Bombyx mori: one gene and its partner. The protein of the gene in region 2 purifies or fractionates together with the protein of the main gene of each other region. This does not show direct contact. Links are inferred from orthologs where the notes say so. Each region holds a gene or a part of one and is shown on either strand. Other genes may lie near its edges.

Region 1 (6,458 bases), on a different chromosome or scaffold from region 2:
TCATATTTACACTAAGTCTTCGTTTTATTTTAGTAATTATATATTGGTATATGTGTATTTAAATTAAATGACATGTAATTGACATTAAAGTGTTGCATGGAACAAAAAAAATTTTAACATTTTTTTTCATTTCTTCATAATTTCTTAAAACAAAGGTTTTAATCAATTATGCTACAACAGGTAACCGAGCCGCTCTTGTGTTAGTGCTATTCCTCGTTACACTTATCAGTTTAGATCTATACATACTACGATCTGACATTGATTGTACATAAATACACAATGATTAACCACATATTATAATGTCGTATAGGGTAATTGTCAACGTAAAGCATGAGGCGCTGGTAGAATACTCATACTATGAATTGATGTGCACAAATTGGATCAAAGTCTTAGTTATCAGGGAAGAGTACTTAAACATATAGAATAGCATTTACTCCACGAAAGCTAGAAATACAATGAAGCATTAAAACCCCAAAAAAGTCCCATAACTGGGTATACAAACTGTATGCGCTTGATGAAGTACTAATCAGACTATTTTGTTATTAGCATCCGGTTACGAATTGTATTTATGGACAATGAGTAAATAAACAAATAAATTAACATTGTGCATTAAAAACAAGAAATTAGTAATACTACATCCCAGAAGGCAAAAATTTTCAATATAACTTTTATAAATACAATAAGGCAAAAATATATTCATATTTTCATAAATAATTTCATTCTATTAAGACAGACATGATTCCCGCCTTCGTTATAAAGTTTTGGATAGGCCCTAGTGTATGTTTGAACGAAAAAAATTACAAATTCATTTCTTTTAGTCTCATCTACAATACATTTGTATAAAAATATATTTGTTACTATATTATTGAACTAAAACCTGTAGCCCTGTGTGAGTGACCAACTGCGCTGCGACGCGAGGCTTATTTGTCCTCATTTATAAGAGGTCAGTGAGCAAATTTTTTTTTTTCAAAGGATTAAATAAACAAATGCCCTTTGACCTGACCGTTTAAATCAAAATATATGACTTGAATTTCATACAGTCACATACTTTCGCAAGTTTTGTTGTAACAATTAAATCTAGTTATATCAATTGTTTGCGACTAAAGAAGTTTTAATTTTTATTTGAATCAATTACCACAAAAAGACTGCCATCAGACATGGGTTAACCGGTCTCTGTATATACGCCATTACTATAGATTTTTTTTTACAACGGGGTCCTATATAACAACACAAGTTCACTTGATAATGATGCTCATTTAGCACAAACCTTAATATATTAATTTAATACAGTTCACATAAGAAGCTTTTGATAAGTAAAGCGACAGAATACAGTTTAAAAAAAAAACATACTGTTAGATGTAACATAAAATATAAATTAACTTTAACATAAATTAATATTCTAAAATCACCAGTCATTACTTCCAAGGTCAGTAAACAACTTGTCTTTGATCTTTGGTCGGGGATCTTCTGTTATGCTCGTTTCGACAGCTCCAACCTTACCGAGTATGTATTCGAGTTCTGGAAATTCAAATACATTTATTTTATTACTTTCCACTAGCTCATCTCAATTTGACTATAATCACTAATATCTCACGGTTCAGACTCATTTTATTCATTATATTTTCATTTTTGTCTATTTTTCAATGTCAATATAATTTAATTCATACATAACTCTATAACAACCACTACAAAAGTGAATTGATTCACAAAGTTCACATAGAACTATTGGCCATGCTATATAAGGTATCAAGCTATCAATTACCATCATTTAAAAATTGATTTATTCACAGCTACTTCAACTACAATACACTGTATTGAAGTTCACTCTTGGTGGCAAAACGGATGCTTCTCAATGGAGACTCACATGTTATACTGCTACTGACTAAATTACTACTACTGTATTAAATTTGCTATTGGTGAGAAGCAAGCCTTGTGGTGCTATTGTTATATGATAACAATCACTAATAGTAATCCTTACTAAAAATGTAACCAATTATAATTAAATTAAAAAAAAACTATAAAAATCAATTCTCATAGCTTACCATCACAAGTCAAACTGGTGCCCCTTAGTTCGTGGGACCCCACAAACTGCTGCTTCATTTCGCCCTCAAAGTAAACAAATAAACTAGGCAGATTCCTCTCTGGGAAGTTTGGGATGCAAGTCTGAGCAATGGCTTTCAAGAATTTTGTGTAGGGAAACTTGACTGCTAATTCTCGTAGATGTTGATTTATTAGTGCACATTGTTGTATTCTGAAATTTTTTGATTTATATGATTGATAATAATCATTGGAGCAGTCTGCAGATAAAGGGTCATAATGGCCCAATGACATAAAAAGTCAGTGCTAGGTTATCTAGAGGAAAAAAACTACATACATTGATATTGGTTTATCTAATGTCTTTATATCTTATTCATCGTTCCACTCACCCCTGTTTGTACAAATGAATGACCACCCAAATGTCTTGACCAGCCTTGTTAACCTCCTGCACATAATCTTGACCAGAGACTTCTCGCACTTCTCCGAATCTAGGCTTCTCAGACAGCTTCTTAATTTCTGCTAATCGTTTCCTGCGGTACTCTTCTATAACAGCCTCATCTTCTGAATCTTCAAGTTCGTCCAATCCATCAAGGTCTAACTCAGATAATTGTTTTTGTTCTGTGAATAAGTAAAAATTGTTATTATTGGAGACCATCACAGTCAGTCCAGTTAATTATGTAGTTTATAGTGTTCAAAACACTTGCCAAGGGTGGCTTGAACTCTCGTCCTCAGCATACAACTATCTACGATGGTGTTTTGGCTGATGTTAAAAAAAGTGTCCCTATCAACTGAACTGGCGTTCTACCAATGAAATGAACTCATTAACTATCCTATCAATTCTCTGCACCCAATAGGTGATGATTACTACATTTTTGAGGGAGTCACTTCTTAAATTCGTAGGGTTAATTGTTCAGTATGTCAGAATGGAAAACAAAACACAAAGTTAATTGTAAATTCATAGCTGAACATTTATAATTATAATAATACAGAGTGTGACTAACATTTTGTCAGATCTTTAAGAAAAATATTTCTTTAAACATTAGTAGTGTCTTAACATGTCTTGTTATTCCTGAATATTTTCAATTTAGTTTATATATAAATTCAAGCAAATGTATTTTGATGTAACAAATAATCACCAAAAAATTCATAATTGGTGAATATTCATTATCTATGCCAGTACAAAAATGAATGCGTCCCACTTAACTGTACTTACTAGAGCTAATTTAGGTGATGAGTCTCGCTTGGCTGAACATTTCATAAGGTGTTGGATGCAAAGAATTTTTTTAACAAAATGATTGAATTGCAGAAAGAAAACTATTAATTTGGTGACTGTTTAATTCCAGGATTCATTTAGTGTACTGGTGATGCATATCAATTATAAACTAGACTAGTCTAAAGGAATGTATAATGAATAATGAAATTATAGGTACTTAAACCAAAAAGTTTCGAAGTTCATTACGTTCAGTGTTTCCGGGTAATGATTCACTGTTGATTACTGATGAGCCAATACATATTGCATTTACATCGTAGAGCTTAACCTCAAAAATTCGTATTTGTTGACCTACTTTCAGCTTCCTTTTGCTGTATTGTGTCCTCTATCATGTTCACAATATCGGCCTCCGAAAACTCCGCTTCTTTCTGCGGTATAATACCCATCTTTCGAAGGGTATCGTTCCATTCTGTATCTTCATTGGGGTTCTAAAAATAAACAACAAAATAAAATTAAACTTTTCACTTTAATGTACTGCACATCATTTTACTGATAAGTTCCATTTATTATACCTGCATTTTATTAAATTAACAATTAAAATTCTAATAGTTGAAATACATAAACTTGCTCCAGCTTTTCAGGAAATTTGACACCAGATATTTTTTCCATAGACTTAACATTGAGACAGGCAAAGGAAACTTTGTCATGAAATATGTAGAACAATAGGTACCATGACATGGGGTAAATTGGGATCCTGGGGTAAATTGGGACAAACCTGCGGAAGATTCTCAAAGTACCTGTAGCACGGAATTTACCTAATTTTGTTTAAGTTAATATTTATCAATGTATAGAAGAAAAACCAAGTTAACTATGGAAGTACTAAATATGAGTTAAGTTGGTCCCAAAAATTCGTCAAATTAAATTGAAAATAGTGGTTGAAAAGTGAGTTTTAAAACAGCTTAAAGAACTTTTAAAAAAAGTAATATTATCGTTGTTTTTTCAATAAGATCACAGTTTATATAAGTTTTTAATACACCTGGAAATACCACAACAAACGGTAAGTTGCAATATTCTTATTTTAAATACAATATTTCGACAAAATAAAAAATGTATATTTTTTCCTTTCTTTTTGGGGAAAATTGGGACGTATGTAGGGTAATTGGGAACGAGACTGGAAAAATTAGGGACGAGAAAACACAAAATTGGAACGCCAAAAGACAAAATAGGGATGGCTTGTTAGGGTTGTCACTGATATCTTATAATAGATTTTTTAGCCTATACTATCACTTAATTGCGTGATGTAAAGAAGGTTAATGTGTTTATCAGTTAGTTTATGTAAGTATTATAGGTAAAAGAAAAGTATATATATAATTACTTTTTTTCGCGACATTTACCTTGTAATATCTGCCCGGTCGTATGTTCTTTATAGCAATAAAAAAAATTAAAAGTTAAAAGAACTCAAACGAATCAAAACTTTTGTTATTTCAGAATCTATTCACGCATCGAATCATGATTTTGTTAACATTCAAAACGCACACACAAATAAAAACAGGCCTCAGATTTTAAATGTAACATTAATTAAAAATCCGATATATCCAATTATGAGTGAGTGAATTAATTGAGTTTAGTTATTTAGCTTAGAAAGAATTTCTTTTATTTTTGTTATTATTGGCAGTAATCAGATAAAGCTGTTTTTTTATCTTATTCACCTGATATCTTACTCTTGCTCAAAGATTATTTTGAAAATGTTGATTAAATAAAATTGTATTATTGCATTTCCAGTCCTTTTGTTTTCTATTTTTTATTCTATTTTATCAATTTGTTTCAGAGTTGTGATTTTTAAGGAAATTAAATAATAATTTTCTAAAATATAACATGCACATACTTTTTTTGATCATTGTATTGTTGATTATCATTCACGTCACATCGCTTCGGAATAGAAACCAGCTTAATTTACACTATGTTGTGTATTGTGCTTAAATTATGGATTGTATTCATCATTTCGGTCCATATAAATAATTATATGGCACCTACCTATATATCGCAGTACTGCGAGTTGACAACCCTTACAAATATCCCAATTTAACCCTTAACCGTGTCAATTTACCCCGGACGCTGGGTAAATTGGGACGGCCATTATTTTACCGATTATTTCTTTAAAATGAATAATTAAAATTATGTAACGGTTTTTATCACCTAGGTACGTTCAAGACTCAACTTATTTATTTGGTTGAGCAGTGACTATTTTATTGGAACTATTTTAAAATTCAATCTGAAGGTCGATTTTGTCCCTATTTACCCCATTGTACGGTACCTACTGAACCTGTCATTAAAATTTAGAAAGAGTTTTAGAAGCCATTTTCAGTGAATTTCGTTTTTCCACACACACACAAAATAAATGGTTAGCCTACAAATACTCTACGATTTCAAACTGATCAAAAAAAGCCAAACATTGAACACATTTTTAATTACTTGTTACCACTAACGCCAAATGTTCCAATATCATTTGAAAATAATGTGAAAAACTTAGCATGCAAGGGCTAGATCGATGTCATTTAGATATTAAGAGAACTGAAATGTCTATGAGATTCAGTAACCATTTCATCACCTCGTCTGTCCAAGGAATATGATTCTGAAAAAGAACTAATAAAATCACTACCATCACTTTAAATGAAAAAGCTGGCTACGCCCTCTATAAATAAAGCTTTGATTTTAGCAGTTTTATTTGACACTTTTATCGTTTAGCAAGATTAAATAATTTGTACAAATTACATAAATAAATTATTTGACTCCACAAAAGTAATCATATAATACTCTCTCAATTTCTATCTCTATGTATAATTACTTCCTAAAGATGATTGATTTAAAGGTTCAGGCCATAAAATCATAAAGAATATCACAAAAATGACAGTTTCAAATGGAATCACGACTTTAACCCATAGCTTTAACCGGTTTTTTGTATTTACTCCAGAATTGACAAATGACACGTCTATCAATTTACGTAAATGTCAACTTGTCAATATTGTCAACCAACCTGCGTCGTGTTGGAAAAATTTTACGTCGCTATGTTCAGTGAAGTTAGTGTCCGTAATAAATAAATTGAATATGGCTGAAAACGAAGGACATAAACATCGGGAACGCTATGACCATGAGGGAGAAGGTAAATTATGTTACGATTTTTCTGTGTATAGTCCGCGGTTAGTGTGTTCGA
Region 2 (4,192 bases):
CACCACTTTACTGCCCAAGGTTGTCATGGCCACCTTAATTAAATTTTCCCTCGTATTCTTGTTGACTGGGAAAGCTTCACTGACGCTGTCAAGATGGGTCAGTGCCAGGGCGGCAGCCATCTCATAACCATCGGCTATACGAATCGGATGGATACCTTTGTCCAACAGATTTGAGGCTTGCTCAAGGAGTGCACCTAAAATTAATTGTAAAAGTTTAGCCCTGTGGTGACTTACACATGATTGCGTAGTTCACAAGTCTTTGTGTGAACGGCGCGAGGTGCGCCGTCGCAGCTTCCTGCGCCAGTCGTCCGCAGACCTCTGACCGCGAAGCTCACGTCACATTTACTCGCATACGCCTGTCTCGATTGACTAAGTTTATATTGAATGTTTAGTGTGTATAGTTTATGTCTCCTTCTTTGCCTGGACTTTTTCTTACTGTTTGCTGTGAACTATTCAACTGTGCTTGTGCTTGTCGCTTTTCTCCTTCTAATCGTTTTTATGTAATAAATTGCTGTGTGTGTGAAATTGGACATAATCATTCCAGTAACGGATCTAAACCCCATATTGCCTGAACCAAGGCTCACGCAGCAGACCCCATAAGCCCCAAAAATGACTTTATGATAAGAGCAGAGAGTAGTCATGTTGAGTACTATAAATACTTATTGAACTTGACACTTACCAGCAAGAACAACAACCCCTGTGGTACCATCACCAATTTCGTCATCTTGACTCTGAGCCAATTGCACAAGTAGTTTACCAATCTGATGCTCAACGTCCATCATTTTTAGAATTGTAGCCCCATCATTTGTTACTGTCACATCACCATCAGACGACACCATAAGCTTATCAAGACCGCGGGGACCAAGAGATGTGCGAAGAGTGCTTGCAATTTGTCGGGCTGCCTGTATATGTGACTGTAGAGAGAGAATATCAGGATTAGGTGACAATACAGAATTATTTAAAAAAAATTGTTGTGTATTAATACTCCAAATAAATATACTCAAGACTTCAAATATAATAACATTTATTCTTTTAAACCTAAGCTTAAAGTGCTATGCTAGTAGGTTTTTTCTTTTAAGCCTAAGCTTAAAGTGCTATGCTATGCTACTGGTGGTAGGATCTCTTGAGAGTCCGCGTTGGTAGGTACCACCACCCCGCTTATTTCTGCTGTGAAGCAGTAATGCATTTCAGTTTAAAGGGTGGGGTAGCCGTTGTAAGTATACCTGAGACCTTAGAACTTATGTCTCAAGGTGGGTGGTGCATTTGCATTGTAGATGTCTATGGACTCCAGTAACCACTTAACACCAGGTGGGTTGTGAGCTCGTCAAGCCATCTAAGCAATAAAAATAAAAATAAAACACCAAGTGGGAATAATACCAACACACAGATATGCATTGTAAGCACACACTTCACAAAGTTATGCCTTGAATCATATAAATCTATTAAAAAAATTCATAAATAAATTTAGTCTTTCACTAGATTCAACTCTGTTGGATACCTCAGTCCATAGAACAGGTGATTTCACAGTAAATCAATACACTACGTGTTTATTAAACATCATCAGTATCCAAGAATAAAGGACAAAATAATGAATGTGTGAAGGACAAAAGAAGAATGCAACTTGGGTATGAAGGAACAATTAGTGCTTTTAACATGTGTTATTTAATCTTGTCAATTTAATATTGTATACATACTTTAATGTATACTACAAATCAAATGAAATTAAGTGAGTGAAAATACTTCTAAAAAAAATTGTATTCGAGAAAATGAATAAGTATGAGGACAGAACGAAATCACTACACCCTCTACAGTTATCAAATATTTTCTAAAGTACAAATAGTATGTTTCGCAATTTTGCTAAGAAATTTAGTCAAGCTAAGAAGCCAAAAAATCACTGACCATAGATTATTAATATATATTATCTTTCAAATTCTTGAGAATTGAAAAATTGAATTTCAGCATTGTTTTATTGTGATATTATTTATTTTTTAATTTTAATGGGCTTAGTTTTAACTTATTCAATACAGTTTCATCTTTGACTTGTTAGTAAAAATACTTTTTTACAATGAAGTTCGTTTTAATAGTATTTTATTTTAGGCCAATTTTAGAAGGTAGGTTCATAGTTTTTATATAATCAAAGCGAATTAAATAAAAACTATGAACCTAATTTACTGTGACTTCAGTGTTTTAATCAACAATATTCGAAATTGTTATAAATCATGTGATTCATCTTGAAATGTCAAGCACCTGTTTCACTTTGGAGTGATTTTCCTCGAAAATCTTGTACTGATGTCCTTGATTATGGATTAAAACATACTTTTAAACTTTAAATAAACTATTTATATTAACTTTCATTGATAAAGTTATGGATATCACAAAATTTCTCGGCTTTCTAATTCTTCTTTTTCTAGGTTAATTTTCGATTTTGTTTTACAGAGCTGTACTGATTTATATATTTTTAACGCTTCGATTAGTTAATAAATGTTGATCAATTAGAATTAGAAAAACTTAAATGGGTAATTTCAATTACATTATAATAATTTAAATTTGAAATAGGTACCTTTATGGCATCGGTACCGGTAAGTCTTTTCTGTCTATCTTGATCCCTCAAGATTATAAATGGACGGCCATACTCATCAAAGGCCACCGATCCCGGGAACAGGGCCATTTTTCACGATTTAAATAGTGCACAAACGAAAGATGAAAATAGATTTAATATTTCTGTTCTCCGCAAGTACAAAACAAAACTCAAATTTTACAATCACAAATGTCAAAGTAAATCACACTCAAAGTTTTTTGTTTACTCGTACAGGCAAAGGAAACACGGACATTCAATCATCGTTGTTTTAAATTAATTATCTCTTTGTTATTCATATTAATCTTTAAACCTACATATTAATGTCCTAATGTAATAAAAATAGCCTTCATTGGCGTCCGCAGACCCATTTTTATCCACTACAATTGATTCCAATTACAATTCTTCGCCAACGTATGATTGTGGTCAAGCAATCGGCTCATTAGGTCAAGTTTACCAAGTGTGCACTCAACATATGATATCCCCTACTTTATTCCTTGCTCTTTGATTCTGACACCTTTTTTCTACTATAATTGAACGTATTTTTCACATTTACCAGTAGCAATTAATGCTAAGACTATAGGATCAGCTTGAAGCGAATGACATAGCACTGTAAATATTGACAAAGAATTTATTTTATTTATTCAATGGATCGAGTCTCTTCTTTGACGAATGACTCTGCCAATCTCAGGTAGATAGAATATCAGCGATACAGATAAATGGTAGCAGATGAGAAGAATGAGAACGGGAGAAAAAATTGTAAATATTTTTAGTTTAATGTTATTGCGGGAAATAAAATAAGCTAATGCATTTACAACTTTAGGATTAGGGAATGTTAAGAGATAGTTCATATTAACTGGGAACGGGACGTTAGTGTTAGTAATAGTCCAGTCACTTAAGTTTAAATTAGGTAAGAATCTCGGAATTCGAGATATCCAGCTGTAAGTCTGTAAATACTTGTATATTGACATCCTGAAAGTTGCCTCAAAACCTACATATGGTAGGGTGTACGCAACTATTCAATTTCAAGATCAAAGGTCACAAAAATCGTTTTTTTGCGCTTTTTTGTAAATATTTCATTTCCTATGGGTTTTTTGCTATTTGTATATATTACAATATTGTAGAATACAACATTCTCTACAAAATTTGTTTAAAAATTTTTTTCTTACGATGAACCGTTTTCGAGATAGAGGGCGGAGAGCGCGCGGTCACAGCATCACTTCAGGTCAACCGGTGTAGTATATACCTATATTTCATAGTTGTGCATTTAAAAATGAAAATAAAAAATGCAAATTCCAATACTTTTATTATTTCAAATTTTAAGCCTATGTACATTCAATCAGTACACCTTGACCGAGGCATACTTTGGATTCCAACACGAAGGACGAACTTCCTTGTTCTTAAATGCGTATTTTACATACATAATGAGCGATATTTCTATCTTATCTATCTTTTATTGTTATTATTTTTACAAATTGTACATAAGTATTGTATCTTTTCTTTATATGATTCTATCTTTCCAATTATTGTATGCTGTTGGCCTTCACCTATAAAAACCACATCAACCACTAAGGGAGCGTACCTAGTTGTTAATGCGTTGTCTTATCCCAGTTTCAT

Evidence for each region.
Region 1: the proteins of T-complex protein 1 subunit epsilon (region 2) and viral IAP-associated factor homolog purify together in Homo sapiens (co-immunoprecipitation; 3 studies listed by BioGRID and IntAct, with this or other methods). This does not show direct contact. The link is inferred for Bombyx mori from reciprocal best matches to the Homo sapiens genes CCT5 and PDCL3.

What each region holds. Positions count from the first base shown.
Region 1 is NC_085131.1:762,572-769,029, reverse strand, and holds the start of viral IAP-associated factor homolog, read right to left. Parts: upstream 3,976-6,458; 5' UTR 3,826-3,975; coding exon 3,820-3,825; intron 3,736-3,819; coding exon 3,603-3,735; intron 2,656-3,602; coding exon 2,427-2,655; intron 2,252-2,426; coding exon 2,043-2,251; intron 1,519-2,042; coding exon 1,406-1,518; 3' UTR 1-1,405. Other genes in the region: atlastin, read left to right, coding at 6,353-6,407. UniProt on the Homo sapiens protein: Acts as a chaperone for the angiogenic VEGF receptor KDR/VEGFR2, increasing its abundance by inhibiting its ubiquitination and degradation.
Region 2 is NC_085108.1:3,072,173-3,076,364, forward strand, and holds the start of T-complex protein 1 subunit epsilon, read right to left. Parts: upstream 2,801-4,192; 5' UTR 2,669-2,800; coding exon 2,561-2,668; intron 915-2,560; coding exon 680-914; intron 195-679; coding exon 1-194. UniProt on the Homo sapiens protein: Component of the chaperonin-containing T-complex (TRiC), a molecular chaperone complex that assists the folding of actin, tubulin and other proteins upon ATP hydrolysis.